4 linked regions of the Saccharomyces cerevisiae S288C genome follow. Changing the gene in region 3 together with the main gene of any one other region gives a genetic interaction. Each region holds a gene or a part of one and is shown on either strand. Other genes may lie near its edges.

The links.
Region 1: mutations in URA1 (region 3) and MPH3 together harm fitness more than expected from each alone (negative genetic interaction), as found in Saccharomyces cerevisiae (one large-scale study listed by BioGRID).
Region 2: mutations in URA1 (region 3) and YER187W together harm fitness more than expected from each alone (negative genetic interaction), as found in Saccharomyces cerevisiae (one large-scale study listed by BioGRID).
Region 4: mutations in URA1 (region 3) and APL1 together harm fitness more than expected from each alone (negative genetic interaction), as found in Saccharomyces cerevisiae (one large-scale study listed by BioGRID).

What each region holds. Positions count from the first base shown.
Region 1 is NC_001142.9:737,201-744,916, forward strand, and holds MPH3 (alpha-glucoside permease), read right to left. Parts: upstream 2,617-7,716; coding exon 808-2,616; downstream 1-807. Other genes in the region: COS5 (Cos5p), read right to left, coding at 5,648-6,799. UniProt on the Saccharomyces cerevisiae protein: High-affinity uptake of maltose and maltotriose. Also transports alpha-methylglucoside, glucose and turanose but not melezitose or trehalose.
Region 2 is NC_001137.3:561,876-570,032, reverse strand, and holds YER187W (uncharacterized protein), read right to left. Parts: upstream 3,804-8,157; coding exon 3,378-3,803; downstream 1-3,377. Other genes in the region: YER188C-A (uncharacterized protein), read left to right, coding at 126-425; YER188W (uncharacterized protein), read right to left, coding at 1,274-1,993; YER186C (uncharacterized protein), read left to right, coding at 7,408-8,157.
Region 3 is NC_001143.9:21,119-29,531, forward strand, and holds URA1 (dihydroorotate dehydrogenase), read left to right. Parts: upstream 1-4,096; coding exon 4,097-5,041; downstream 5,042-8,413. Other genes in the region: JEN1 (monocarboxylate/H+ symporter), read left to right, coding at 1,116-2,966; OXP1 (5-oxoprolinase), read right to left, coding at 5,709-8,413. UniProt on the Saccharomyces cerevisiae protein: Catalyzes the conversion of dihydroorotate to orotate with fumarate as the electron acceptor. Molecular oxygen can replace fumarate in vitro. Does not use oxaloacetate or NAD or NADP as electron acceptors.
Region 4 is NC_001142.9:444,313-453,161, reverse strand, and holds APL1 (Apl1p), read right to left. Parts: upstream 7,240-8,849; coding exon 5,137-7,239; downstream 1-5,136. Other genes in the region: MHO1 (Mho1p), read right to left, coding at 1-732; SUI2 (translation initiation factor eIF2 subunit alpha), read right to left, coding at 1,228-2,142; DNA-directed DNA polymerase delta subunit POL31, read right to left, coding at 2,497-3,960; LSO1 (Lso1p), read left to right, coding at 4,404-4,685; SAG1 (Sag1p), read left to right, coding at 8,301-8,849. UniProt on the Saccharomyces cerevisiae protein: Adaptins are components of the adaptor complexes which link clathrin to receptors in coated vesicles. Clathrin-associated protein complexes are believed to interact with the cytoplasmic tails of membrane proteins, leading to their selection and concentration.

The sequences.
Region 1 (7,716 bases), on a different chromosome or scaffold from region 3:
AATAAAAATTTAAATAGTAGACACGTTTAATGACTTAAAAACTAACTTTTTCATATCTAATATTGTAAAATGGGCGGAAAAAGCTTAAGAATATGTTATTTTACAAATCAGAGCGCTGACACATATAGAGAGCTATATGATATGAGTGAGAGCAACTCTCCCGTATATGCTAAGAATATTGTCGCTTATTAGGATTGAAAGATAGGATCAATGAGGAATAAATGTTACCCTTTTTTCTTAAAAATGTAAGAGGAAATTATGAAATATACTCTGATTTGTTTATTATTGATTAAGAACAATATAATAACCGCTCTGGTAGCTACTGTACATATAATTTGACGGCATATATTGCTCATATATAAAACTACCGCATTACTTCCAGTTGATAGATTTTTAACTCAGTTTCAGTACTGCCAGAACTGCTCATTCGAGATTTTTTCTATTTTTAGAATAGGTAAAATTGCACTTAAATGTATAAGGGATGTACGAAGTGAGTGCCCAGACTGTTACTATGACAATTAAACTAATGTCGATGACCATTTGTTTCGACAACTCCATCTTCATTTTCTTCACGCGCCATACTCGGATGAGAAAGAATCTTTTCTCTAACTATACATTTCCAAACGCAATGATCAAGAAGAAAGCTAAATGTTACTTTGAGTTCAATTACTGAGACATGTCATGGGAATATGAGGAAGAAACAAATCTACGTGTATTATACTCCGTAACATGTAGAGTAAATACCATAGTTACCTATTTACCTGTGTCGATAAATGTTCATTAGCTCATAAGTGATGGGATACATTGCTATTCCTCTGCAATGGAAGCTTCGATATCTCCCTTGGGGTCGTTATGAGAGACGTCTTTAGGGGGGGTTTTGACAACAAACGGATCTACTTTCGTCGATTTGAACTTTCTTGCAGAAACTCCAAGTTTAAATAACTCATTTATTTCCACGAAAGTCTTTCCGGCAGTTTCTGGTAGGTCAACCACAGCCCAGATTAAAGTACAAAAGCATAAGACACCCCAGAAAAAGCCTGACTTAGCGCCCCAGTTCCACTTCTTAGAGTTCAGTTGGTATAAGATGAGAACGCTACATATGATACTGACCACATTATAAGTGTTACGTGCTAGAATGATTGTTTTCGTTCTTAGTCTTGAAGATGGCATTTCAGAGACTAGGCAAAAAACGACCGGGGCAATTCCTAAATTGTAAAAAAATGCTACAGCCATTAAAAGAGAACCACTTCCCATTTTGGAACCGTGCGTACTTGAGCACCCCAAACCGCCAATAATGAAAAAAACAATGGTTTGGAAGGCTAGTCCAAAAGCGTAAAGGTCATATCTACCAAAATACTTTGACGCCCACCAAGATAGAAATGTAGCACAAATACCGAGACAGTATTGAATAATACTAAAAGTGAAGGACATTTCAGTACTAACGCCAGCCTTTTCGTAAAAGTAAGTTGAATAACCTATTAGTATTGAACCACAAGTGGCTTGACCAGCCCAGCAGAGACAAGTAATTCTCGTTCTTCTTCGATTAATCTTGTCTTCAAAACAATCACTATAGGAGCCTTCTTTACTTGTGAGTCTCTTTTCCTTATCTATAGTCACTTTTATTTTGTCCACCTCCAGAGTTACTAGTATTTCTTTTTCAGGTCCCTTGCCGCTTAAAGTTCTTCTAAGTGATCTCCTTGCCTCATCAAACCTTCCTTTTTTAACTAGCCACCATGGAGATTCAGGTGCAAAAAAAATTCCCAGTGCTAAAGGAACTGGCAAAATCCACTGTAGGGCAAATGGTAGTTTATATCCTAATTCTGAATCCGCATATTTTTTTTGAGAATTTTTCATGATTCCAGCTGCAAAAAGTTGTCCAAATAACCAGCACAAGTTTGAATAGGTTGTAAGGTAATATCTCAGAGCCAATGGGCATATTTCAGAAGCGTAAGACACCGTCAAACACTGAAAACAACCCCATGGCATCCCGCACAATGCTTGTCCCACAGCAATCATGCCTAAACTATTGCAAAAGTACAGTATAAAAGTGAAGGCAGCTAAAAAAAACAATGCAATAATCAATGTGTAACGATTTCCAACAAGATCCACGGAGGGCCCCGTTAGCTGTAGCCCCACAATTTCACCTGCCATATAACATAAGGTCAGCCCGATTTGCCATGACGCTGAAATTTCCCATTCTCCAGTTTTGTCATTTTGTGAGCCAAACTTTCTCTGAAAAATAGGCAAGGCGTAGAAAGCTCCAAGAATAGCTGTGTCGTACCCTTCCATGATTAAAGTTGTAGAGACCAATAGTGACCAAGCTGCTGCCTTGGGATATGTATTCAATGCTGTCGCAAGTGGCATTCCTCTTTCACTTTCGTCTGCCTCCTTGGCATCCTCAGTAGCGTCAAATATCTCTGTTATTACTTTATTGCTATCGCTTGGCGCTCTTGTATCCGGACTGAACTCAACATGAACAATATCTAAGCCGTCCTTCTTAGTTTGATCATCCATTTCTATCCAGCTGGGTTCATGCGACTTAGCCTTTCCTGGGTATACATTCGAGTCACTTGTATTTTCCTTTCTTCTGTTTATGAGAAAAGATAAGTTTTTCATAGCTAGGTAATGGCTTTACAAGACCTGTATCTCTATTTGTGTTAGATTTTGTGATGGTAATCTTTGCATAATAATTCCAAGAACAGGCCTCTAAGAATTACAAACAACGATTACAGATGACCCCACCTTTTTTTTATATTCTATAGTCAACACTATCATGAACTTGTGGCATACTCATTGCATATGGCTGACAGGATGTCAAATGCTCCCTTCTACGAAAGATTCTGTGCACGTAAAACGCGGGGTGTGGAATGTCGCGATGACTCTCGAGCAGAGAAAAAGACAAACATATAACGAGCTGATTCCTCTCCAGAAGAACAAAGCCAACATTGATTCAAACTGAGGACTTAATATGATTGACTCTCTGGAAACTGCAACAGTGTGATTATAGATCAGAAATTCATGCTGTAATTTTAGTATATCGACCTGTCGCGATGTTGCAAGCGTGACAGATCTATACATATTTCGCTAAAACTGTCGGTAAAATACCAACACGCTGCACTGCAGACCACAGATTCGAACCGAAGCATATTTTCAGAAATTTACGAGAGGTCTTTATAGTCACCAAAATATCCAAATTGAGTAATTAGAAAGAAAAAAACACACATACTGTAGTCCACAACCTGTTTACGGACAGGTTCTGGCTGATGGGATAACCACTCTACCTGACTGCTCTCCTACTTCATATTTACCTCCCGAACAACGTGAAATCTTTTTGCTTGGAGAAAAACAAGTAAAAAGTATAAATGGAGATGAAAGATCCACCAATAAATTCCAGCTTGATTTTTCAACATATGATGACAAATGTGAGTGCTAAATCTAAGTCGTAAGACAAATAAGAACTTTTACCATAATCAGTATCCTGGGAAAAGTGGTAGAACTACAGTTTATCAAGCTTACCCACAAAGCATTAAATATGCTCCCACAATAACCTCTGGAGTGATATAACAGGTATGACTTTCAAGTTATAGTATATTAAAGATCTTGGAATTGGGCGGTTTAGGCTTGTTCATTTCAAAGCTCGAGTAAGATTTTAGTATACTTTTCCCTATAGAAATATTTCCGACATAGATTTTTTAATATAAGCACTTCTTCCATGACATTTTGTTTCAGTTATCTCTCTTTCGTCGCTACTTGAGAAAACTATATGGTTGTACGAAAAAGAAATGGCCAAAATATTCTTTGGGCCTTATTAATCTCATTACTATTGTAAGAGTTGGCCCTTAATTTTATAGAAACACTGTTTTAAGGCCAAAAAAAAAAGATGCCAAACATAGAAAGGAAATGTCGCTTTACTTGGCTAATTGGCTCTAAATCACAGGTCTTAATACTCGAAACGCCATTGATGTACTGTGCACAATTTCCATTCCGGGTTAATTATAAAGATATCAGCGTTTATTTTCATCCATGGCAATGAAAATTGTAAAATAATCATCATCAAAATTTGATATGGTTGCAATAGAGGGAATGATTTGATTTTTATGAGACTTATACGCATCACCCTGTATTTTTGCAATTACGGCGATTTATAAAACTTATAACGGAATTTAAGAGTTTCATCCTACCAAGCGTAATCATAGATATAAAAATTCTATTGTGCAACTCATATTTGTCATTGAAACAGGGACTTTTCTCCGAAGTTTAATATCTAGTATGAGCTATACACCTTAACCACTCCTTACTTGTAAAGGTACGAAAAAGTTGTCGTTTTAGCGCGCACTTACTGATGGATGCTGAATCAGTATAGTGTTTGACTGCGGCAGTAAACTACTCACAGTAGCAGGCACGTACTATGGAAGTTGTTTCGAGGCGCATGATAGGAAAAAGGGTACCAAAAAGGATTAGAAGAGAAAATTTTCATAATGGGAAGTCACTGACGAGGGTTGGTGGTTATCCGTTTTAAAAAAATATTATGCAATCAAGCTACAACATCCTGTAAATTTTGTAGTAGAAAACTTCTATTATAACGGTTTCTGAATTGGCATATAAAATAGTCAAAAGGTGATCTTTAAATCAACGGTAAAAACAGTGAAGCTGGTCCTGTTGTAGAATCGCCATTTCCTTTGTGGTGATAGGTCTTTAAGTAAAGTAATGGTGAATTTAGTTAATTTGTTAACCAACGCGACTCCAGCTAACTGAGCGCATGGTCTAATACAGTTCCGTTAGAAACATATTTTCATTTTGATGAGGTATCAGTATTTGGCGACTATTATTTGAATGCATCTGTAATCTGGATGAATGAAACCTTTTATGAAACCAGAATTGTCCCAGCTATTATCAATGTCCGTGAATGGCTTGACCATATGGAGGCAAACGATCCTTCACCTAGTGTAACTAACCCACTCGAAACTTCAATTATTATGCCTTTTCAACGGTAGCTCCCGCTTTAATGGAGGATATGAAAGTAGCATAAATGAATTAGAAAAGTGTATTCACTGTTCTGGAATATACATGGTACGCAAGAGATATAAAAATTTATAATAAACGTACGTTATGCCCGAAGTGTATCCCGAACTACGGGTTAAACTAAAGCTTTTTAATTACTAGTAGGTTGGAGGTTTACCAATATGCGTTCTTCTTTAGGCCTTACATTACTGAAACAATACTGGAAAATCACTCTTATGATGCTTTTAAGTTATCACATTTAACTTTATGGCATGGCCTCCGTTTGAGCGCACGGAAAGATTTTATAGTACTTTAGTATGACTATTCGTTAGCATTGCTTTATGGTCGTACTCGGAGTAAGAATATTTTGTGAGTGAGCTGGTAAGATGAGGATATTGTAGAATAGCATTTTTGCTCTTATGTGTATTCCTGGTATGATATATAACATTTGTGCAGCTTCTTACTGATGAATAGCATATTTCCTGTTTAAGAGAGGTAGTAGTGATTAATTAGTAATATTAGTATTACTGCATGATAAATCGCTTGATAAAAGTGTCCACTCGCCTTTTAAAGTCACTCAATAGAGTGTAGTATTCATATCTAACAGAATGCAAAAGTATGAATTTTTAAGTCCAGAAGGGCGTTCTCATTTCTTCATTAAAGACTCTTCATTGCGGGACAATTGCGCTTCTTTAATATATGGCCATAGTTCCACATTCAATGGTAAAAGCCACATAGATTTCTTTGCAGATAGAAGGCGGTAGAAGAAGTGGCTAAAAAACCATTCACAGTCAATCCCCTCGAAGAAAAACTCTTCATTCTTCCAGGCTTTTTTCTCAAACAAGTACCTATTCATTTTCCTTGCAATTTCGTCCCATCCATTCGCACCACTTTCTTGCTCATTTATAATAGTCAACAAGAATTGCATCTTGTGTTCCATTTTCACGAGTAAAGCAGTCGTCCTCATATTTTGGAAAAGCCACACCATCATGAGGAAAAACAATCCAGGACACAATATACGAAATGCAAGGCAAAAATGCTGTGACACGCAGATACAGTTCAAAAAAGCAAGCCATAATGGTAGAGAGTAAATAGTGAAAATCCGCTTTAAAAACCAAGTAAGCTTGGACCGATGAATATCCTTGGGAAGCTGAACGTCTTCCAGGCCAACAGGGCTCCATGATTTTTCAGTATTAAACAACTTCCATTGTTTTTCAACTTCTCTAAAATAAACTCCCAATGCTTCTTCAATGTAAGGGACGGAATCCTTAAATGACTTAACCTTGGCAGCTTCGTCTTTTTTCAAAGAGAAGGGTTCGAGAAGGGTTGTTCTGAACGCTTCTTGGCAGCCCATGGCATTGAAGAAAAAGTACCTAGTATTCCAAGCCTTATTTTCATATAAGTACGAATTTAGATTTGCTGCAACAACTTCCCAATCATGAGGATCAGAACTTGGTGTGTTTTCAGTAACCTCTTTGCAAAACTGAATGAGTTGTTTCGATAAGGAACGCTTACGAGAAAGTCCACAAATAACAAGGACAAATATTGGTCCCAGAAACAGGACCAGAAGTGAAACTATAAGTGGGTAAATACAATTGTTGGAAAGTTTCCACCAGACGCTAAGTGGTAGCCATAATAGCATCCAGATCGGAAACGCTAAGGACTTGTAAATTTCATAACAAAACCAGGTAAAGCTGCTTCTGAAAAGATCTTGAGGTAGAACAATCTTTTGGGATTCGAGCTGTTTGAAGGATAATACATCTACACTCTTCTCATTTTTAAGTTCATTCTCTTTCATTTTCGGTAGTGAGATGGCAGTTCGAGGGGTTTTTTATTCGAGATAGTAACTTCTGACTTTTCGCTTTTATACAGCACAGCAGAAAAAAAAAGCCGCCGAGGCGCGCGCGTTCATGCAATGGCTCAGTAACCTCGTGATAGAAAAAGGGCAACAATATTGGGCTATTTTAGGCAAAGAAACTCAGCTATTCGAAAAGGGCATCCATTTCATTTCCGGTTTTCTATCTAGCCAACTCGATAATCGTAATAACGAATTTACAAAACTTTAATGCGGGTACATCACGGTGTGCCGTAACTTTGGTTTACATTTAAGGTGCGACCAGCAATGTCACTGCTCGTACAGCGGTTACCGCTTGAATGAAATACATATTTTAAGCGTAGATTTCCTGTGACAAAACTGTGTAAACATCTAGTAGAAAATAGACGTAGCTGTCACAAATATTTACACAGGAAAGAGTCTGTCCTACGTATCTGACATGAAGATTCATAGAACCAAGTTACTTCCCAATGTGGACAACCTTTCGATACCATGTCAATAGCTTCCCCTTATGTTCGGTGTCACTGTAAAACGGATCAAAACAAAACCTAGAGGTACGGTGGTACTCAGATCATGCATGACCTCTGGGTAATTAGCACTTCTCCCGCTTGTTTTGAGATTCTGTATATAAATATTGCAAACAAAAGGATAGAGCGCGGATGGCAGCCCTTACAGTAAAAATTATTCGTTTTAATCATGCGTCAGTGTGAGATTCTATGACAATAGTATGAGAAGATGGGGTGAAGTAAAAGCGTCTGTATGACTATAGAGTACAGTTATATTACAATATATGGAATAGAGCATAGTGGTATGACGATATTAAGGAACTTTAAGTTAATGATACCATGATAGTATTAAGACGCAATTAAGTGTGTTTATGT
Region 2 (8,157 bases), on a different chromosome or scaffold from region 3:
CTACCACTCCAATCCCACCACCACATGCCATACTCACCCTCACTTGTATACTGATATGGCATACGCACACGGATGCTACTACAGTATACCACTCTCAAACTTACCCTACTCTCACATTCCACTCCATGGCCCATCTCTCACTAAATCAGTACAAATGCACTCACATCATTATGCACGGCACTTGCCTCAGCGGTTTATACCCTGTGCCATTTACCCATAAAGCCCACGATTATCCACATTTTAATATCTATATCTCATTCGGCGGCCCCAAATATTGTATAACTGCCCTTAATACATACGTTATACCACTTTTTCACCATCTACTATCCACTCAATTTATATACACTTATGTCAATATTACAAAAAAATCACCACTAAAATCACCTAAACATAAAAATATTCTATCCTTCAACGATAATACATAAACACACTCAATTACGTATCAATACCACCATGACGTCATTAACGTATAAGTTCCTTAATATTACCATTGCTTGAACGGATGCCATTTCAGAATATTTCGTACTTACACAGACCATACATTAGAATAATATGCCACATCACTGTCGTAACACTCTCCCACAAGGATAACCATTTTGCACAGGGTGGCTTTGCATCTCATATTCGAGTCCATGAGCATTTTTTTATTCGCACTCCATAAAATATTTCAAGTCCATTGGCAGCACCTTTGCTGTGCGGTGGTATCACTGTGTTTTCACCATTATCGAGAAATGACTGTGGTGCAGGTAAAAAGGTGTGCTAATCGTCTCTGCGGTTTGGGGCACATAGGTATTGTATGGGCCAAAGCTATGTAAGCTGAACTGTATGTCTTCTCACGTGGCCAGTCGAAAAAGAAGGGCTCTTAAAAGCTCACCGCGTCAGAAGATGAAAAGTGGCCAAGAAGTACTTCAATACGTCGAATCTATTTGTCGTTTGTTCATCCTCGTTAACGTCAACAAGCACATACTCACACGGGTGCTCCATTATACTTTCACTCCCATAATGTAATTTTGACGTAGTGAATTACGATCTAGCTTATATGTCATAATGTGGTAAGTTTACTGGACATTTATATATGTAATACAAATATAAGATATATAGGGTTCTACTTTTGTGCATAGAAACTAGGGTTTCTTAAGTAATAGTGGGTTAGAGGTTTATCACTATATGTTCTCCTTGTGTATTACCGACACAAAAAAGAAGCATCACTTGTACCATGCTTTTGGGTTATCACATTCGACAAGAACCTAACGTATGTCCAGAATCCTATTCGTTACGGATTCCATCCGGATTCTGGTTGCATCCAAGAATATGGGTTGACATTCCAGCATAGCATCTGGCCTGGCCTTATCTTGAAATGGTGATCATGACCTTTTGAACAATTGTGATGCGGCCAAATCCTGATCCAGACCGCCCCGCCGCAGCATCCATAGTTATAAGACCTGACCGACTTGGCGTACTGAGTGGAGCCTATATTTTGACATGACGTTGCTGCAGTTTGTTCGTCGTAAAAACCCTCACCTGCGCAGTCCTTTTGGTCAAAACCAGTCACTCCAAGTGCATCTGAACGTCTTCCCATGACAAACTCACCTGGATAGTATGGTCTGTAGAGCCTAACATCCATGTCATGCCGTTCAAATTCTGAGGGTTCTTCCATAGCGTGATAATAGCCGTTATCATCGGGCCCAAAACCGTATTCATTGTAAAATGACGCGATCGTAACCTGTACGTTAGTATTGACGTCAGTGCAGTTAAAATAATCACTAGTTACATCCTCAAAGTCAATTGTTGCATTCGCCATCGGTGAAATTGTTATGAATCCATTACTAGCCAAATCGACTACAATGTTTCTGTGTTCTGGTGCGAGACAGGCAAGGTAATCTGATTTGAACTGATCAAATTCCATTTGTTCTGTTACGTTGTAAGCACAAGCTAGTCCTAAAGTGGTAAAAAAGTATGACCACGTTAACTTTCCTAGGTAGGTAGGCATCATTATTGTTACTTTTTTTATGATATTGAGTAGCGATACTGTATTCCAAAAGTGTCATTATATATAGTCTCTGTAAATAAGTATCAAACTCAACAAATAATTGTGAATAAGGATATTCTCTGGCAGTCAGCACAACGTATACTGACCACCCCCCTTACCATAATATAGCAACACGCTAAACCATGCTTCCCAGGCAACGTACGCTCTGCTGCTTTTTTTTTAGCAGGGCCCTATTTGGGAATGTGTCGTGAGATGTCTGCAGACGTGCTTTCAAAAGGCCGCTTTCCTGCGCGCTTTCTTACTTAATAATACTGCTTCTCGTACCTGATAAGCCGGATCGGCTAAACGCGCTTCTTGTGGATCCTGGTTCCATCCCTACTTATTTCTATCTTAGTTTTCTCATCAACTGCACATAATTGGCGACAGGATATAGTTCTCTTTAAAACATACGAACGAAATTACCAGCGATCTTCAGTGGGAAAAATGAGCCTCCAGAGCCACCCCATCATTAATATGAAAAAAATACCAGAACTGAAAATGAACAAGAATTTAGATTTTTTATTGACTGAACGCCTTTAATCTCAAAATACAGTACTGCCAAAGGACATCGTTAAAAGTTTTTGTGGCAAAAAAAAGTCTGATTGATTCTGTTGAGATTGTTTAGTGGTACTCTTTGAATGCAGTAGCATAAGTAAGTATATCACTCTCAAGTAGTGCGTCTATCGCAATAAATAGGATGATAATTGAATCTTGTTCCAACACTTACAATCATCTATCTGTATCTAGTATACTCTATGTATGTAATGCATTGAGAAATAATGCAATCTTGAAGGGCAATCACATATTTTTTAGAGTCATTAGTTGGTGTAGTCGAATTCTAATTATAGAATTTAATTCAATAATAAAGATAACGCTATATCACTTGACAAGAACTTAGCATGTAACCAGATGAGTTATATTTGATAATACTTATTATTATTTTTCTGAGCTATGTCTGAACTATTAGCTTCCATAAAACCAATCAGCGCGTATGTGGTGTGGTGTGTGTTTTGTACCTTAGTTTTGTTTTTTTTATAAATGTATTCGAGTTATTGTTGAATGTGGTAACCCAAAAGCATGATATGAGTAATGTTTTAGTATTGTTTCAGAGTTGTTTCAGTAATGCTTGAGACAAGGAAAACATATAGTAGCAAACCTCTAATCCGGTAGTACTTAAGAAACTATAGTTTCTATGTACAAAAGCAGTAACTATGTAATTATTACATTTACATAACATATAGAAGGGTCCAATAAACTTACTACATTATGACATATAAACTAGATCGTAATTCACTACGTCAACAGTTCTTAATTTCGGGTCAGTCAATTCAGCGACAGGCGTAAAGCTTTATCGACCATCTCCAGTGTTCTGAGCACCGATATGCTCGTCATTACAATAATTATCTATACCACCGTAAGTGTTAAAATATATCTCAGACTTGAATGCCGAACCCGTGCCTGCACCGTCACCAGGTATGTCATCGTAATCAAGTGGCTCACCGTTTTTCGTGTCCTCAGCAGCAAAGCAGTATTTCCAATCCCTATTACCTGAAAAGAAATTCTGTAACTTCTCTTCAGCATAAGAATCAAAATTTCCTGCTCCACCTTCGTCATTCTGCCAGTTCTGTGCCAGGTCACCATAACTCTGACTATATGTCATTGATATCCATGAGGTGGCGAACTCTTGACTGCGTCTCTGTAACGATAGGGCCGAAGCGTTGCCACTTATATCAGGTACCCCTGGTACCGCTGCCACGATTTGATCGATGAGCATGCTCACATTATGTACGCTACTCGTGCTGATGTGGGTTCCATGCTCCGTAGTATACCCCACAAAGTTGATCTCAGCAGCACCGTCACGTTTAATAGTGTCATGTACTGCATACCCACTAAACTCTATTGTAACAAAATTACTACCAGTACCATTAGACAATGTTTGCCCATTGAGCACATGATCAGTGAGTGTTATAGTATGATTCAGTACATTAATAGTCTCACTTAACCCTCGCTTTGTTGCTGAGCCAGAACTCTTTCCCACTAAAACTGCTGCAACTATAACTGCTGAAGTTGCTAAAACAGCACCAGCTATAGGTGAACATATTCCGCTAGTGGATGCGATACAGGTTGCTGCGACCCAGTAAGGAGTAGCATAAGCGGCTGCAGCAATTAAAAATCCTCCTAGTCCTAATCCAGTCGCAAATGATCACCTAGCTCGCCGTACTAGAGCAGCAGTGTTGGCGCGGTCAGGTATAGCTCCAGTTCTAAGTGTGCTTAAAAATAATGAGTACGCTACCAAAAGCAGTGCAAAAATTATTGCAAACAATCTAACGATTCTAAACGTCCTTGTTGTCAAGTAATTTGGAGGGCTGCTATTCATGTCGTCTGTGTATGATCTATTCATTTTTTCATATATTTTTTTCTATTCTACATACATTATTTGGGATTACGATACAGTGTTCCAGAATTGTCACTTTATATAGATTTGTTACAATGCATGACACTTGCCAAAATAATCAAGCCCAATACCTAAAATTTGCAAGCGCGCCTTCAAAGAATGGCTCCCCGCTGATTTTTAAGAAATACTACTTTTATAAAAAATATCTCAAAACACCTTAGTTTTTTCCTATACACTTCTTCTATTGTTTAAAGGCCCTGACATTCTTGGTCTCCAGGCCGCTCAATATGCTTCGCACCACGGTAAAAGGCGGCTGCACATGTGGTAAGTCAACAAGGACTCTTTTCACTAATTAGCATGGTGTGCTATCACATGTCATCAAGCTTTCCATGAAATAAACCATTGATTGTAAGAGAACCACCCAACAAATCAAATCAAGATGCCAATCAAAGTTACAGACTGCGTCCTTTTTCCGCCAATTGATCTAAAACAAAATCTAAAGTCAGTAAACATAGAATTTCTGTCATTTTGCGTTTTTTCGACAAATACGCGCACTACCCTGAAATTATTATCATGAAGATTACTATATTTATATTTAAAGGTTAACCTCGAGTTCTATAATATTATGTCATACAAGCTCATTATGTTAGAAAGCGAGTTATGGAGGTTCAAGTTCAGATGCCTTGGTTTGGTTTACTAACTAATATTTGAAATTCTTGCTAAATATTTTCAGTACTCCAAAATCTGAATATTTCAGAATTTCATATCCAGACCCATTCTATGAGCCAAAGTAAACCCCGTGTACTTTCAAAAGCAATGCTACTCTTCCCAAAATAATATAATATATATATATAACTGATACATATAACGTGTTGGAGTCGTATAGTGTTACAGTCCATGATTATACTCACCTCCCAGTGTATTCGTTAATAGAACTACGTAATTGTAAGCCGCTGAAAAATAGCTGGTGTTGAAACAACGAAGACCTCACCTCGATGATACCAAAATTATTAAGAATAAATATAATGAAACTTGTTTGAAAAAGAGCGGGAGCTCTGCTAGATGGAAGAGTTGCGTACAATACTTTTTTTTGAAGATGAGAAAACACTGGCTAAGGTAAAGCAGGTTTCCTGTAAAAGCTGCTAAACCGTCTTTCACGGTTTTGTAATCAAAAAGGCTTCTTACTATCCTTTCCCAGAACGAAATCATACGCATATTTGCCCACATTGTTAAGAGTTTGAATCATTAAAGCAACAATATACTACTAGACCTCTATCTTCTTCAAACCAATAGGTTCTGCTGTCGTAAAAGCATTCTTTTATCAATAACTGTAAAATGTCGTTATGAAAGCCCTTCGTTAGTCTCTTTGCAACCTCCAGCAAACTTGCTGAACTTTCTTTTTCAATGGTGTGTGATCTCTATATCTTGTGAGGCTTGCTATGTTTTAGTAGAAACCATTTGGTTTTTATTATCGAAGCAGTGTATGAGCACAGTGAGAGCTTTATATTGTGACAAGAATTGCGTTTACCTTAAAATTTCGAAGTACATTTCCTTGTATTGTCTAGGTTATGCTGGTTAGTTAATGGGGCGGGAAGTGGTTTAGTAAGGTAGAGGTCCCGTTGGTTATTTTTGTGGAGTTAGGAAGGTTCAATAATGTCAGACATCCGTTAAATAATTACATCTATACAATTCTTAAAAAGAAAAGAAGCGCTTTGGGCAAATTTTGAAAACAGAAAATCGCACACTTCTAAGTTCAGTCCCTTTTAACATTCATTCAAAGCTATTTTCTAGCAATTGTTTGTTCTTATATCTTACACCTTACATGCCCGCAAAGGGATGATCTTACTTTCGACAGGTAGATGTTATATCAAGATATAGATGATCTTTGAAGTCAAAATGATGGCACAGTAATCACTCATTTAGCTATTTCTGTAGTTAGTTTGTATAATGAAACGATATTAAAGACAGGGATCACATACAAGTTAAAAATTTTGTATAATCAAAGAAATAAAATATCTTCCCTTTACTCTTCTTTGCATTATCCGCCATTACACTATCAGACACTGCAGAGCAATAAATCAAGTAAAAGAAAATTTTTTTAGTATAATTCAGCTTCAAGTGAAGTGACTTCGAAATTGAAACTCCATTACTGTCTAATATAAAATTTGATGGAAATCGAAGTTAAAAAATCATCGGAGAATATAATCTAGCTAAACCAACAATATTTTTATTGTACAAATCTTCGTTTTACGTACCGCACCTGACCAAGTGGTTCGCAAATTTGCGAGTAATTTTACGTCTGTATGTTAAGGCTTGTCGGGATCTACCCCTCTTCTTGTGTTCCTCCTAAATTTCTATTAATTATATAAAGATTGGCATATGACAACGAGAGAAAATTTTATACAGAACAAGGTTACAGGTAAATTGTAACACATATTTGTTACAATAAGAGTAAAAAAAGTCTTTCCGCAACACGCTATACCTGATGGATGTTTTACTCGAATTAATAAAGTTATATAATTCAAATGGTGAGTCTCTTCTGTTTTAGCTAATTATGCACCTATTTTCTACGACTTTAAAAGTTTAAAAGATCCAAGTCGAGTTCTGCCTGAATTTGAAACTAATAACAAGCCTTTATTAGGTTTTGGGAAGGGTTTCTTGATTGCATTATACGTCTTAGAAGAGGATGAGGCCCAAGGTTTTGATTTTCTTGGAACGCGCAACCATCATCAGAAATAAAATAAAATTATTGGTTGACCTTTTTTACCTAAAGGAAAGTCTGAAAATGCTGTTGCAACAACGGCAGCGCCCTGCTTTAAGCAAGGCACGTGGTCCACCAAGAAAATAACTAAGAGGATGAATTCTCCTATTTTAAGCCAGGAAACTAGTCAGTAACATACGCCAAGGAAATGAAAGCATAGGATGCGGGCTGATTACCGAAGTCAAAGGTTCTAGTATATGATCGAGTTCTGTAAACAGTATCATGCTGTGGCATCCTGATGGTTACGAGCCTCGAGTAAAGGCTATAGAAGAAGAAATCTACGCTAACGAAGACAGGAAGGATGTTCCGGATAAGTTTAAATTTGATACTGTAACGAAAACTGGAATGGTCAAGCTTCGTGTTTTCAAAGACGATCTAATATTCAAATCACAACGATCTATAAATCTGTTTGCAAGTAGGAAGCATCCCTTCAAGTCATTTACGGCGGATGGAGAGGGCTTGCCGTTATTTGCCTTCCGCACTAAGAAGCCTTTTTTTGTTAGGCGAGATTATGTGGGTTTTCTTTTTTATCAATACGAGATATTGAAAAATGGGGACTTCCCTGAAGAGTCGGATTATGAGGTAAAAGGAGAGTGCGACGGTTTCACTCTGTTTAAAGTTCTTTTTTGCACTGTTAAGGTGAAGAAAACAAGCTATTATCGCAATAAGGAGAGAATATCCCACATACTAGAGCTCAACTTCGGAAAAAAGGAAGATTTTAGGATATTGACACTGGTTAGATGCTCTGAAATTAGATCAGTATATGTTGTAGAGGATAAAAAGGTTATTATGAAATGGGTTTTCACCTCAGAGAGTAAATTTAATTTGAATTCCTCACTGTTCATCATAAAGGCCGCAATTGGCTGTTTACCAGAGGTGGGTGATAGCATAGAGGACATACCTAAATTTGATTGGGACTCCTGCCCTACTATTGGATGTATGTGCAGAACTAAGGAGGCTCTTTTTCAACCT
Region 3 (8,413 bases):
CATCGGGTGGGCCGGTCCTCGCACTTTCCTTTTGTTTCGGATGTTAATTAATATATAAATGGATCTATAATTTTCAAAAGGTATAAACGCACAGTATGAAAAATATTGCAAGAATAATGTGTTTATAAATTATTTTTTTTGCTGGTAGCAAAATCAACTCATTGTCTTCCATTCAGAGTCTAATCGAACGTTATCGCAATGCTTGCACACTTTTAAACAATACGATTTAGTTTAAGTGGATGGACCCCCACGCTTAGTGTTCCACAGGTTTGTCCCCACTGTTTTTACATTCCACTGTACATTTTTGCAATAGAAGGTCATTGTATGCTACCTTGGGCGGCTAAGAATACCTGTAAAAATTTGGAGAAATTAGATTCGTAAAGAATGACTCGCAACGACTCCAATGATTTCTTCTTTTCACCCTTTGAACGGCCGATATCCGCGCGGGATCCTGACCCCGCAATTTACTCCACTAGACCGGCGTGTTTCTCTTTTTCCTTTTCCTGGGGTTAGAGCCCAAGAGCTAATAGCCGACAAACGGACTCCAAAAAAAAAAGGAGGCACAGGACAAACGCAGCACCTGCGTCATTCACGCTGAAGCGGCAGCAAGCATTTTCGATCAGCTCCAATTAAATGAAGACTATTCGCCGTACCGTTCCCAGATGGGTGCGAAAGTCAGTGATCGAGGAAGTTATTGAGCGCGCGGCTTGAAACTATTTCTCCATCTCAGAGCCGCCAAGCCTACCATTATTCTCCACCAGGAAGTTAGTTTGTAAGCTTCTGCACACCATCCGGACGTCCATAATTCTTCACTTAACGGTCTTTTGCCCCCCCTTCTACTATAATGCATTAGAACGTTACCTGGTCATTTGGATGGAGATCTAAGTAACACTTACTATCTCCTATGGTACTATCCTTTACCAAAAAAAAAAAAAAAAAAAAAAAAAAAAAAATCAGCAAAGTGAAGTACCCTCTTGATGTATAAATACATTGCACATCATTGTTGAGAAATAGTTTTGGAAGTTGTCTAGTCCTTCTCCCTTAGATCTAAAAGGAAGAAGAGTAACAGTTTCAAAAGTTTTTCCTCAAAGAGATTAAATACTGCTACTGAAAATATGTCGTCGTCAATTACAGATGAGAAAATATCTGGTGAACAGCAACAACCTGCTGGCAGAAAACTATACTATAACACAAGTACATTTGCAGAGCCTCCTCTAGTGGACGGAGAAGGTAACCCTATAAATTATGAGCCGGAAGTTTACAACCCGGATCACGAAAAGCTATACCATAACCCATCACTGCCTGCACAATCAATTCAGGATACAAGAGATGATGAATTGCTGGAAAGAGTTTATAGCCAGGATCAAGGTGTAGAGTATGAGGAAGATGAAGAGGATAAGCCAAACCTAAGCGCTGCGTCCATTAAAAGTTATGCTTTAACGAGATTTACGTCCTTACTGCACATCCACGAGTTTTCTTGGGAGAATGTCAATCCCATACCCGAACTGCGCAAAATGACATGGCAGAATTGGAACTATTTTTTTATGGGTTATTTTGCGTGGTTGTCTGCGGCTTGGGCCTTCTTTTGCGTTTCAGTATCAGTCGCTCCATTGGCTGAACTATATGACAGACCAACCAAGGACATCACCTGGGGGTTGGGATTGGTGTTATTTGTTCGTTCAGCAGGTGCTGTCATATTTGGTTTATGGACAGATAAGTCTTCCAGAAAGTGGCCGTACATTACATGTTTGTTCTTATTTGTCATTGCACAACTCTGTACTCCATGGTGTGACACATACGAGAAATTTCTGGGCGTAAGGTGGATAACCGGTATTGCTATGGGAGGAATTTACGGATGTGCTTCTGCAACAGCGATTGAAGATGCACCTGTGAAAGCACGTTCGTTCCTATCAGGTCTATTTTTTTCTGCTTACGCTATGGGGTTCATATTTGCTATCATTTTTTACAGAGCCTTTGGCTACTTTAGGGATGATGGCTGGAAAATATTGTTTTGGTTTAGTATTTTTCTACCAATTCTACTAATTTTCTGGAGATTGTTATGGCCTGAAACGAAATACTTCACCAAGGTTTTGAAAGCCCGTAAATTAATATTGAGTGACGCAGTGAAAGCTAATGGTGGCGAGCCTCTACCAAAAGCCAACTTTAAACAAAAGATGGTATCCATGAAGAGAACAGTTCAAAAGTACTGGTTGTTGTTCGCATATTTGGTTGTTTTATTGGTGGGTCCAAATTACTTGACTCATGCTTCTCAAGACTTGTTGCCAACCATGCTGCGTGCCCAATTAGGCCTATCCAAGGATGCTGTCACTGTCATTGTAGTGGTTACCAACATCGGTGCTATTTGTGGGGGTATGATATTTGGACAGTTCATGGAAGTTACTGGAAGAAGATTAGGCCTATTGATTGCATGCACAATGGGTGGTTGCTTCACCTACCCTGCATTTATGTTGAGAAGCGAAAAGGCTATATTAGGTGCCGGTTTCATGTTATATTTTTGTGTCTTTGGTGTCTGGGGTATCCTGCCCATTCACCTTGCAGAGTTGGCCCCTGCTGATGCAAGGGCTTTGGTTGCCGGTTTATCTTACCAGCTAGGTAATCTAGCTTCTGCAGCGGCTTCCACGATTGAGACACAGTTAGCTGATAGATACCCATTAGAAAGAGATGCCTCTGGTGCTGTGATTAAAGAAGATTATGCCAAAGTTATGGCTATCTTGACTGGTTCTGTTTTCATCTTCACATTTGCTTGTGTTTTTGTTGGCCATGAGAAATTCCATCGTGATTTGTCCTCTCCTGTTATGAAGAAATATATAAACCAAGTGGAAGAATACGAAGCCGATGGTCTTTCGATTAGTGACATTGTTGAACAAAAGACGGAATGTGCTTCAGTGAAGATGATTGATTCGAACGTCTCAAAGACATATGAGGAGCATATTGAGACCGTTTAATCACTTTTCATTGCTCTCTAGGGCGTGTTCGCTTCTCTATGTAACTGCATTTCACATATATTCATATTATAGCCTTTATAACATTACATAAAAGACATGATATACGACATACTTTAAAGTTAGAATTTTTGTTGTATTAATTTTCTCGAAGGGATTAGAATGTAAGTACATTTAAATAGCGCCGCAAGAAACATAACAGCCGTTAACACTAGCAAGATGGTAGATTACTGTGTCTAAGAATTTAAATTGTTTTGCTTGCTTTTGCCACTATAAGACAATAATAGTAATAGAAAAGAAATGTTAGTCGAACAGCAAATTGGTAAAAGTGGAAAAAATTATTTCGTTATTCATTTTAGGCCGTTCAGAAATATAGCATTTTGGTTCTTGCACTGAATGGGCCCTGAGGACAGTGTGCGGCTGGATAGCCATATACTTCGACATTACTTTTCACCTTTGAAGGGGGATGTATGCTTATACACAATCAAAGCTCGGCCTGTGCAGGTTTCACTACATAAGCTTTTTTACCATAGAAATCTTGCAGAAGGAAGTAAGTATCAAGATATTACGTATCGCATCCATAGAACGATAGCAGAAAAATGCAGTATATGATAACGATATGCTTCACAGCTGCGGCCCATTTGGGGAAAAAAGGAAAAGGAGCATCCTCGATCTTACAGATGTCGCTTTTTCCTCTTGAGGTCATTCCCTAACCTTGGATCCAAGTCAATCTGGTATCTTCCCACCCTAAATAGTGTATTCCCCATGTAATAAGATCGGACGATAAACTTCGAAACAATTCTAGCCTTTTTTATTAGATATTTACTCTACTTTAGATTTGGTGATTTTACTAAATGTTATCCTTCAGCCACTACAGCCTACTTTTTCTCACTAATATGTTCTTGAAGCCATTTTCTTCACCGGGCTTTGCCGAAGGTTATTTCACGATCTTCGGCATTCGCCGAAAATTTTTCAAGATGCCCATCACCAAAAAATAAAAAAAGCTTTATATATGGCATGGCATACGCATCGGGAACCGGTATTCTTCTCTTGGATTACACAGTTTGGACTACTAGACGTTTCAAATAGATATACACAATTACTCAAAAAAAAATTGAACTTCCGTACCAAACATGACAGCCAGTTTAACTACCAAGTTCTTGAACAATACCTATGAAAACCCATTTATGAATGCATCCGGTGTTCATTGCATGACTACACAAGAATTAGATGAATTAGCAAACTCTAAAGCTGGCGCATTCATTACAAAGAGTGCTACAACCTTAGAAAGAGAAGGTAACCCTGAACCACGTTACATTTCTGTCCCTCTAGGCAGTATCAACTCCATGGGTTTACCAAACGAAGGTATCGACTACTATTTGTCCTATGTATTAAACCGTCAAAAGAATTATCCTGATGCACCTGCTATTTTCTTCTCAGTTGCTGGTATGAGCATTGATGAAAATTTAAATTTGTTGAGGAAAATCCAAGATAGCGAATTCAACGGTATTACCGAGTTAAACTTGTCTTGTCCTAATGTGCCTGGGAAACCACAAGTTGCTTATGACTTTGACTTGACAAAGGAAACCTTGGAAAAGGTTTTTGCCTTTTTCAAAAAACCTCTTGGTGTCAAGTTGCCTCCTTATTTTGATTTTGCCCATTTTGATATCATGGCAAAAATATTGAACGAGTTCCCATTAGCTTATGTCAACTCTATCAATAGTATAGGAAATGGTCTTTTCATTGATGTGGAGAAGGAGAGTGTAGTAGTGAAGCCAAAGAATGGTTTCGGGGGTATTGGAGGTGAATATGTTAAGCCAACCGCGCTCGCCAATGTTCGTGCATTTTACACTCGTTTGAGACCTGAAATCAAAGTTATCGGTACAGGTGGAATTAAGTCCGGTAAGGATGCATTTGAACATCTTCTATGTGGTGCCTCTATGCTACAGATTGGTACAGAATTACAAAAAGAGGGCGTCAAGATTTTTGAACGTATCGAAAAAGAATTAAAAGACATAATGGAAGCTAAGGGTTATACATCCATAGATCAGTTCCGTGGGAAGTTGAACAGCATTTAATTATCGGAATTTGAAGAACTATGATGGGACAAGTTATGGAAGAGTGTTAAGATTCGTATGAATATTTTATTATTTTGAAATTGCATAAATCAAGGATAGTTGGTAAATGCTAATTCCTTAATTTTTCGGTGAGTGCATTCGCAATTGGCATCATACATTAGGGTTCAATGTGCTTTAATAGATGATGATACTAAATACTTATACTTTGAAATAACTTAATCAATGTAAATTATTGTCTTGATTCATTTATACTTAAATTTTTATATCTCAACATATGATATATCCTTACATTAAGACTTATTCAAGAAACATTTTTCAACGATAATTATTAGTAGGCTAAAAATGGCATAGGAACCAGAAAATAATGTTGAAGAAATGAAGCCATCTGTTTAATATTTGGGGAAAAAAGTGAAGAAATTAACGAATATGTGCATATATATATATATATATATATATATATATATTGCACAGGTGATTTTGATGTAGAATGTAGCCTTTTCGAAAGAGTAATTTGGTTTTATCTACAGAGTTCCGAAACATTGTTAAGTGCCTGTTCTTATATAATTAAACTGTACTTTCTGTAAAAGTCAATTTGTGGCTGGCGCATCCACGGTATACCAATGGTTCCGTGTAATTCGATATTGACTAAGAACCAAAAAGAAATGCTTTAATCCTTGTATTGTCCAAATCCCCCACCACCAGGGGTTTTAATGATGAATCGATCACCGGGTTGAGCGTAAATCGTATTTTTACCGCCGACATTGATTAATGCGCCTGTGCTATGTCTTACCCATAAATTCTCACCTCTACTACCGTCTTGTCCTCCCTTTATACCATGAGGGCCAATGACACGACGTTCTGATAATATAGATGCTGTTACAGCCTTCCGAAATTGAACATCCCTTACTACGCCATTTCCGCCAGTATATTTACCTTTGCCTCCTGAACCTCTTCTGATCGAGAACTCTTTCAACAGAACGGGGTATCTCCTTTCAAATACCTCAGTATCTGTCATTCTTGTATTGGTCATATTCGTGTGTACAGCGTCTGAGCCATTCCAACCACTTCCTCTCCATGAATCTGCACCAGCCCCCGAGCCGCCACATATGGTTTCATAATATCCAAAGCCTTTGATCTGCTTATCGGTTTTGTTACCAGAATTTCCTCCAGTTCCAAATGTAAAGTTGTTACAGTCACCTTGAGAATCTGCCATGACGTTAAATGTTTTTAAGATTACATCTGTCACTCTTTGGGAAGTTAATACATTGCCTCCGACAACAGCAGCACCGGATCGGGGGCTCAAGAGGGAACCAGCAGGAATTTTTATTGTTAAGGGTTTTAAACAACCTTGATTTAAAGGAATATCTTCGCCTACTAGACACCGTAGACAATAAAGAATCGCAGAATTAGTAATAGCCTCTGGTGCATTTAAATTACCATAAACTTGGGGAGAAGTGCCATCGAAATTAAAAATATACTCCTCTTTTTCAGGTCTTATGATAACTTGTAGTTTAATTAAGCTTCCATCATCTAAGCGATCTTCGCCAGAAAACTTCGTTGTGCCAAAATGTTCAACCATTTTTGCAAGCATTTTTTTTATGGATTCAGATGCATTTGTCTGAATTGCAGCCATGTATTTCAATATTGTAGCCAGATCATATTCCTTAGTTAATGACCCAATTAACTGTATCCCTTTTGTGTTAGCTGCGACTTGCGCTTTTAAATCGCTTATGTTATCACTAAATCTTCTTGAACCTGAGCAGCCTGGGTATTTGCCTGGATCTTCTACGAAAAGCTTGTAAATTAATTCTTCCTGGAAAATTCCCTCTTTGACAACCAATTCGGAATAAATTGCGGTTCCTTCTTCGTACAATTCTTTGGAATTTGGAGGCACTGAACCGGGTAGAATACCTCCAATATCTGCATGATGGGCTCTTGAAGCCACATAAAATATCAATTCGCCAGTTGAAGAGAAAGAAGGAGTTATTACTGTTATGTCTGGTAAATGAGTACCACCAATATCCGGATGGTTTGTGATTAAAACATCACCAGGCTTTAATTTGCCTTCCCATAACTTCGCCTGTGCTGATATGCAGGTTGACATTGATCCTAAGTGAACAGGTACATGAGGAGCGTTAGCGACTAAGTTTCCTTTAGAGTCGAATAGTGCACATGAAAAATCTAATCTCTCTTTGACGTTAGTTGAAACAGAAGTTTTCCTCAATTGAGTACCCATCTGGAGGGCGATATCCATAAACCTATGACTGAAAATAGACAATAAGATTGGATCTATATCAAGTTCATATCCGCTTTTAGATAATGTCTTCGCAGCCTTTTGGTTGATCTTGATAAATATATGAGAGTTTAAAATTGTTGCTTGGCTGTTTGGTAAAATAATATTTGTTTGGGTACCGTCAGCCAATATGGCTGGGCCCTCGATAATTGTTCCGGCAGGAAGATCATCAATTTTGAAGACCGCAGTGTCGACCCATTTGTTGTCAAAATATGCTTTCTGGGTAAAACTAGCATCCTTTGACACGTCGGCTTTCTTGAAATGGGAAATTTCAATCAATTGCTCATCAACCGTTTTTTCTTTTCTAACGCCTGATTTCCCAATTGCTCTTATCCTTATATCATCAATTATAATTCGTTTGTCATCGAATGAGAATCCGAACTCTTTTTTATGAGCTTCAGAGAACCATTCCCTAAAATTCCATTGGTCATCATATTTTTGTAATATCATCAAACTGGTTTCAGTACCTTCATATCTGAGATTTAAATATCTTTCCAAGACTATGTCCTCCCGAGAAAACGACTGAGATAAAAGGTTTTTGATTGAATTTTTAGAAAGTTCTAAGAATCTTTTTTTCACTTTCAAGATGGTCTCTGGCTCACCCAAGATAAAAGAGCAAGGCTCTTGGTTTTCTTCAATAACATCTGCTAAGAAAATGCCATAAGCGGACAAGATAGAAGAATATCTATGAATTAAAACAGTGTCAATGCCCAATGAATCTGCAACCGCTATGGCGTGTTGCCCGCCAGCCCCGCCAAAGGAAACTAACCGATGCTGAGATACTACATGTCCTTTTGCTTCTGTAATGGCCCTCACAGGTCTTGCCATGCATTCGTTAGCTACTTTGATAAATCCATAGGCAACCTCTTCCATGGTTAGATTTGAATTCAGATCCTTATTGATGACATCTGTTAATTCTCTGAATTTCAAAGTAGTGGTTTCTAAGTCAAGTGATTCATCCTCATTGGGCCCAAAAATTTTGGGGAAGAACTCAGGAACCAAACGTCCTAAAAAGAGGTTGGCGTCTGTAATGGTCAAAGGCCCGCCCTTTCTGTAGGCTGCAGGGCCTGGATCAGCAG
Region 4 (8,849 bases), on a different chromosome or scaffold from region 3:
GGGAACTTGATGATGTGAAAGTTTACTCCTAGCAGTTAACATTTCCACTTCTGTTTCCTCTTGAATGGCATCATTCAACTCTTCCTTGCTTCCGACGTACCCAGTATATTGGAATCTGCGGCCCCAATGACAGAAATCACTGCTTACAATGAATAAATTGTTCGGATCCTTAATGTACTCCGACAAGATATTACCAATGCAACGATCAACATCAACGCTGTTATGAGAAACCATCATAGGAAATACCTTCACCGTATCTAAAGAAATTTCTCTCCATTTCAAAGTTTCCACCAACATGGGGAGCTGCATCTCTAAGGAATGTTCAGCCATATCAGTGTCATGATCCATTGGCTTAAACAGCTTCTTTCCGTTCTCAGGATACTCCTTCTGTATTAATGTTTTACACAAGTCTGTATCCACTTTCAGATTACCCAAGGGCGTCTCTAGCTCACTGAATGCACTAACTAATATTTGGTTTTTGAAATAGATGTGATGCGACGGCCCCAAGATAAATATTCTCTTAACATTACGGTTCAAATCCAACGATGCGTACGAGTAGGCCATAGTGGGTCCACAATACCTGTAACCGGCATGAGGACATATGATAATTCTGGCGTTGTGAATTGGGCCTTTAAGGGTACTTTTGATCAAGTATGTATGCAGTTGTTGAGATAATTCTTGGGCTCTATTGGAATACCATGAGCCTGCATGTGTTGCTGGACGTATTGACATGTTTGAAAAATTCTATTCTTTGCACTGTAGTCCACCTAAGCCACCGACTAGGACCACTTCACTTAAGTATCAGTCAGACTTTCCTTTGAAAATATATCAGTGTGTATCCGCATGTTATCTGTTTTGTTGAAAATCACATGAGTGGACGGCCCCTTTGTCTTGTCTTAGTGTTCCCCAATGATTTAAATGCAATTCCGAAGGAAAGGGGGGAGCCTCATATTATTACAGCATCACTACCTTTTGAGGTAAAAATATCTCATGTGAAAAAGATAAATTATAGAGAACCGGCAGGGCATGCTCCACTGACAACCCCGTGGTAACAGAAATTAAATTTTGATTATGATTAAATGGATTGTAATATTTATAATAGCCAAATGTACAAGGTGTATATTGCAAAGAATATGATATGGCAGGATATACGTATTTGTTCTATACAAAATTTTCTAAAACAGTATGACACTTGAAAACACCTAGAAAAATTAGGCGCGGCAATGATTACTCGTCGTCTGACTCATCCTCATCGTCTTCAGAGTCAGATCTATTATCTAATTCTTTGCTTTCTAATAGAGCTTGTAACTCAGCGTCTTCAGTAGCAGTGACAGCCTTTGGTGGCATGGTAATGTTGCAAACACCGCCGTATTTTGTAATAACCTCTGTAATTTTTTCAATAGCGCTTTCCAGTTGTTCAATACCTTTTTGCTTATCCAAGGCTTGGGTGGTCAAAACATATAATGGGGCGGCGACTAATTTAACTTTAACTTGCATTTGTTCTGTGGACATGTCTTCAGCTGATTTTAATGCGTCTTTAATGGCATCGATACCTTCGTAACTAAAACAAGACACTTCAACATCGGCTCTAATCTTTACAGCTTGTGGTGTTAATCTCTTGGAGATATAGTTCTTTAATTCATCTAAAACATCTTTTGATGGCGGTTCAATACCTTCCCAAACAGTTTCGTCAATGATGGATAGTTTGAAAGCTTCGTAAGCGTGACCAAATTTTCGACTTAATGGCCAAGCAATGGTCTTATATAGTTCTTCCAAAGGGATTTGGAATTTTTCGGCACAGTATCTTAAAATGGAATGAACAGTCTTAGATTTTTGGTATTTTTCTTCACATTTAATGATATCTTCAGAAGAAACACGACGTTTGGACAAATCAATATAACCTTTTTCTTTGTCGACACGAAGAACAACGGCGACATCATTTTTACCAACACGAATTAATTTTTGGATTGACCTAATACGTCTACGGGACAATTCACTTAGTAGAATCATACCTTCAATGTTGTCATATTCTAACAATTTAACATAAGCACCCATTTCAGCAATCTGCTGGACGTTAACCATGACGATATCGTCAATTTCTGGGTATTTGTTTTCATAAAATCTGCAATGAGAAGTGGACATTATTTGGTGTATTATAGAAGGTGCGTGAGGCAGCAGAAAAGACACAAAAATATGAAGACAAAAACTGATTAGTAAACAGATTGCACTTTACTCTTTAATGACCTAGGAAATAAACAATGGTTGAAAATTTGTAAATGCGATTTTATACTACTATTTCATCAGATTTGTGCTTTCTCTTCTTCTCTTTTTCGCCTCTTCGAAGAAAAAATTTTTCTCCGACTGCGGGTAAGAAAAAACGCTCATAGTTTTTCTACCAGCTGTGACAAGAAACGTATTTTGAGCTGAACGATGAATGCTCACTTTTACATATAAAACTTAATTGCATATCTATGTGGAAATTATTCCTTGTTTTATTTAAATGTCAATCTTGACCGTCTCTGCTTCTAACGTTTCCAAATCCAGTAATATTATCATCCCAGTAGAACTGAATTCAGGGACAGATATTATCTTTATGTTCTTACCACCTATTTCCACTACTCTTGTTCCAAAATATGGCTGGTTTGCCACAATGTAAACGTGGGGCCACTTATCCAATACAAATGGATCCTTATCAGTGTACGGATAACACCATAAGGTATCAGGTGCGGTGGGCGCGATGTTTTGCCATTTCATTGTACATTCCATAAGGTCCAGGCGATGCTCTATATCGTCTTTGAAATCATTACTCTCGCCCTCCTCGACCTTGTTTTCACTTTCTCCGTTATCATTTGATGGTATTACGTATTTACAAATATCATTGATATTTTTGCCTGAAACGGCTAGAACGTCTACGCCATTATAGCTAAACTCATATGGGTTGGTCACTAAATTCAAAATTTCTTTGTTAGAACCGTTGAAGTATGATTCTAGGGACTTATCAAACAATGATTTGTGGAAAGGCTGTTGCGGTAGAGATTTGTCACTTGGATCATTGGTTCCGGGCATAATATCAACAGATATAGATGGCAAAATGTTGTGTAGAAATTTACTGAACTCAGTTAGAGAAATCATCAATTCGTCTTTGTTCACGCTTTTAATGTCGAAGTCAACAGAGTTGCCGCATATCAGTAATCTACCAATTAGAGAAATGTCGTCAATTTTGTTATTGATTCTCCCCATCAAAAATTCTCTCAAAATCTCCAATCTCAATAGCCTATCAGGTGATGTATTATTGAGGTTTAACCCAGAAACAAGAGCAATTTTTCCCCTGGTGGGGCAGGTAGCAATTGGTGCAGGGAAAGGATTTTGTGGTAAAGGAGTGGGGTAGCATATGTCTAAAACTTGAAATGTCCCGGCTTCAGCTTCCATACCCAGTATACCTACAACAACACCCGTGATGAAGGGTGTAGACCGAATAAAATCTCCCACTAGAAGCACTCTCCCACTTTCATCTTCGAGCATAATTTCATCAGAACCACCCTCTTTATCAGTATAACTTTTAGTTAAATCTGGTGCACCATATGTATCATTGATCACTTCGTCCAGTACGTTTGGTTTATATTTCATCTCGCAATATATGGATCCTACGCACCAACATGGTTGGTTTCCCTGAATATCTAACACTTTGTCCTTTTTTAGAACTAATTGGCCATTCAAGGTAAAGCCCGCATCCCATCTCTTGTCACATTCTTTTAAGACGCGTTCTCTGAAAGTCTTTAGACGGTATTGATAAATGTGGTAGTACTGAGAACCGTAGTCACGTTTTTTATAGCATAGTTGGAATGGATTCGATTTGTTGTAAAGATTGTCGTCAACAATTCTTACTCTCGTTCGTGGTTGGGACAAGTTTTCATCTTGGAGACTTCTATCCTCGTTGAACTTTGTTAACAATGCGTCCATTGCCCTTCACTTCCATTTTTGCAGGAAAGATTCAGCTATAGTTCGCTTATTGCAATGGGATTTCAAAAATAGTTTATATTTTAACTTTTGAAATTAATCAGACGCGTCTGATTAATCGTATAACATGATATAAATCTAGAGTTAGTATTGGCGGCTATTTTGCTTTTCCTCTGGTTTTCCTTTCCCTTTGACACCCTTTTTGCCACTTAACTACTGTATAAGAGTGGGTAAAGCACACCCACAAAGCATTGAACGACAGATTGATATCAACAGGCTGAAATAGAACAATCGAGAATGTTGCACCCTTTTTTCCAATCTAAGCACTTGCGTACATATATATATATATATAGGATAATGTGTAGTCGTATTATTAACCGCCTTTTGGAAGTTTGCTAACCGCATAGTTGTCATTAGAAACCACCAAACATAGTGAAGAAGCGAACATGCATAATACTGGCAAGAGATACTCAGAAACTGCCAAAAAAGTGGCAGCAGGAAGAGCAAGAAAACGTAGGCAAGCTTACGAAAAGGACCAACTAGAGAAACAACAACTAGAAGCTCAAGAAGCTCAGAGGTGGGAAGAAGGTGCGAGAACCCCTAACCAGAAGAAGCTGATTATGGAACAAAAAAAGACAGAGAAGCTAAGAGCCAAAAAGGAAAGAGACCAATTACTAGCCGCCGAAGAGGAAGCTTTAGGTAAGGGAGGCAGGGGAAAAAGATACTGAAATGACGGAAAACGAGAATATGGAGCAGAGAGCAACTTTTAGAGCTTTACCCGTTAAAAGGTCAAATCGAGGCTTCCTGCCTTTGTCTGATTTTAGTAGTACCGGAAGGTTTATTACGCCCAAGAACAGTGCTTGAATTGAGTTCTCGGGACACGGGAAAGACAATGGAAGAAAAATTTACATTCAGTAGCCTTATATATGAAATGCTGCCAAGCCACGTCTTTATAAGTAGATAATGTCCCATGAGCTGAACTATGGGAATTTATGACGCAGTTCATTGTATATATATTACATTAACTCTTTAGTTTAACATCTGAATTGTTTTATAAAATAACTTTTTGAATTTTTTTATGATCGCTTAGTTAAGTCTATTATATCAGGTTTTTTCATTCATCATAATTGTTCGTTAAATATGAGTATATTTAAATACAGGAATTAGTATCATTTGCAGTCACGAAAAGGGCCGTTTCATAGAGAGTTTTCTTAATAAAGTTGAGGGTTTCCGTGATAGTTTTGAGGGGTTGTTTGAACTAGATTTACGCTTACCTTTCAACTGATTAATTTTTTCAGCGGGCTTATCATAATCATCCATCATAGCAGTCTTTCTGGACTTCGTCGAGGACTGGCTTTCTGAATTTTGACGGTCCCTATTAGCTCCAGTTGGAGGAAATGAGTTACCTACAACTGGCAAGAGGTCTTTGTTTGGATTCAAAATAGGACTTTGTGGTAGCAGTTTGGTTTTATTCAATCTAAAGATATGAGAAACAGGTTTTAAGTAAATCGATACTATTGTACCAATGTTTAGCTCCAATTCCTCCAAAACGGTGGGATCTAATTTCGTGTTCATTTCTATTAGTGGCAACTCTCCGTCCAGTACTGATTTTAAAGATTCAAAAGTTATCGCGTTTGATATACGAGACGTTTTCGTTAATGACAGCAATCTCCAATACATCAGTGTTTTATCTCTTAAGTCAGGATTATTTTCGTGATCGATGCATCCTTTTAATAAATCCATACAAAGTTCTTCAGTTTCCTTTGTAGGACTTCTGATGAAGAATTTTATTGCTGAGTTCAGAATGGAAAATTGCACTTCTAGCGTCTCACTAAACATGTTTGAGGAAAAAACTCTAAATAACTCCAGGTAGTTTGGAATTACATCCGAATATTGCGTTATTATCCAGATCATAGCGTTTTTTGATTCAGGTTCCTGTACAACTTCAGTGTGTTTGACTAGTTCTGTTACGTTTGCTTTAAAATTATTGGGATATTTCCTCAAAATATTTCTGAAAACCGAAATAATCTCCTGGACGACATAATCAACACCGAATTCTAACAAATCTAGTAGAACAGCGACACAATCGTGTACAGAGTCTTCATCTAGCTTAACAGCCAGATTACCAATGGCTCTGACTGATTTCCTTGACATTTGAATATCAATATCTGTAGCATATTGTTCCAACTCTTCTAGAATTCTTGGTAATGTTTCCTTGTTAGCTAAAAGATATAAACACTCTAATTTCGTGTCTTTGATGTATATGGGGTCATTGTACTCGATGAAAAAATACGAAATGTCTAGCCTGAGTAGAGATGACTCCCTACTCAATAAAAGAAGAATAACGTTTCTTAATACTAAAAATTGTAATTCAGGCGGCTTATCTAACAAAGCTATTACAGAGTTAGATAGCTTTTCGGCTAGAGTTTCTTTGATGACGTCAACATAATTCAACAAGTACATGATGAATTTTAAAGAGTTCAACACTACGTATGTGTTTACTTGTTGCAGGTACGGTAAAGCTAGTTCGATCATTTCATGGGTATCCAAATAATGCTGCGGCACAACCGAAGTCGTCAAAACTTCCAAAACAGTAGCCTTATTCCACTCATTTAATTCGGGTAAAAGCTCTAGCATGTCAAAAGCGAGTTCCAAGGGAATCCTGAAGGGTTCCATGTTAGCGTTTTTTTCGTGAATGGAATATAAAGTATGTAATGCAGCTACAATGACTTCTGGAGAGCTCGACTGTGCTTTTACAATGTCATGTAGAATGCTTGATAACCCCAATACCCTTTCATGATCAATTTCATCTAAATCCAACAGTGCGTAAATTGCTGTCCTCGTCACTTGTTCAGGTGGAGACTTGTGATTTACCAATGAAATGATACAGTCGAAGGCCTGATCAGATAGCTCTTTCACCGGGACTAATACCAGAGTTCTTAGTGCCATTATTTGTAACTTTTCATCTCTGCTTTTGAAATCGTCCATTATAAATGGCAAAGCCTCTCTGGCCTGCTGAGGTTTTAATGCGCCGATCACCCTAATATACTCATGGCAAATTCTTTTCACTTCTAGATCATCTTCAATTTGCCAAAATTTCAAGAGCTCAGAAAACAGAACGGACATTTCGCCATAGTTTCCTAGAACCAAATTGGCGATAATTTTTCTCAGAGCATTTTTCCTTCTTGTTATATTCGATTTAAACTTTTTTACTCCAAAATGTTGCAGATCTGTGACGATTTCATTTGCTTTATATCTGGCAAAAACTTTTTGATCGGACATAAGCGAAATACGTCCTATTAATGAAGTGAATGTTCTTGCTGTATTCCCTTCTTGTGCAGTAGATTAATTCTGTTTCCAGGCTGCGATACTTTGATACCCAATACTAAAAGTTGATGATTTGAACGATCTCCTATTTCCTCGCACATTTTTGGAGCGATACCCGGAAGACAGAATCGCGATGTTAAGAAAATAGTTCTGATGGCACTAAAGAGATCATGATTAAGGAAAGGTAAGTGATATGCATGAATGGGAATAGGCTTTCGAACTTGACGATTTAGTTCCTTATTTCTATCCATCTAATCCTCCAACTTCAATAGGCCTTATCTAGCTCAGAGCAGTATTTAATTGAGAATAGTAGCTTAATTGAAACCTTACTAAAAAAGTGTATGGTTACATAAGATAAGGCGTTAAGAAGAGTATACATATGCATTATTCATTACCAAGACCACTATGAATAGTAATACCATATTTAGCTTTTGAAACTCATGTTTTCTATTGTGTTGTTTCAAATTCCTCTGTTAGGCTCAATTTAGGTTAATTAAATTATAAAAAAATATAAAAAATAAAGAAAGTTTATCCATCGTCACCTCAATTCAATGGAGTAAACAGTTTCAACACTGAGTGGTGAAACATTGAACAACTACATGCAGTTTCCCGCCACGAGGCAAGTGTAGGTCCTTTGTCCATTTCGCTTTGTTTTGCAGGTCATTGATGACCTAATTAGGAAGGTAGAAGCCGCTCCAGCTCGATAAGGAAATGCTAAGGGTACTCGCCTTTGGTGTTTTACCATACAATGGCAGCTTTATGTCACTTCATTCTTCAGTAACGGCGCTTAAATATTCCCAAAAACGTTACAATGGAATTGTTTGATCATGTAACGAAATGCAATCTTCTAAAAAAAAAGCCATGTGAATCAAAAAAAGATTCCTTTTAGCATACTATAAATATGCGAAATGCCCTCTATTTATTCTAGTAATCGTCCATTCTCATATCTTCCTTATATCAGTCGCCTCGCTTAATATAGTCAGCACAAAAGGAACAACAATTCGCCAGTTTTCAAAATGTTCACTTTTCTCAAAATTATTCTGTGGCTTTTTTCCTTGGCATTGGCCTCTGCTATAAATATCAACGATATCACATTTTCCAATTTAGAAATTACTCCACTGACTGCAAATAAACAACCTGATCAAGGTTGGACTGCCACTTTTGATTTTAGTATTGCAGATGCGTCTTCCATTAGGGAGGGCGATGAATTCACATTATCAATGCCACATGTTTATAGGATTAAGCTATTAAACTCATCGCAAACAGCTACTATTTCCTTAGCGGATGGTACTGAGGCTTTCAAATGCTATGTTTCGCAACAGGCTGCATACTTGTATGAAAATACTACTTTCACATGTACTGCTCAAAATGACCTGTCCTCCTATAATACGATTGATGGATCCATAACATTTTCGCTAAATTTTAGTGATGGTGGTTCCAGCTATGAATATGAGTTAGAAAACGCTAAGTTTTTCAAATCTGGGCCAATGCTTGTTAAACTTGGTAATCAAATGTCAGATGTGGTGAATTTCGATCCTGCTGCTTTTACAGAGAATGTTTTTCAC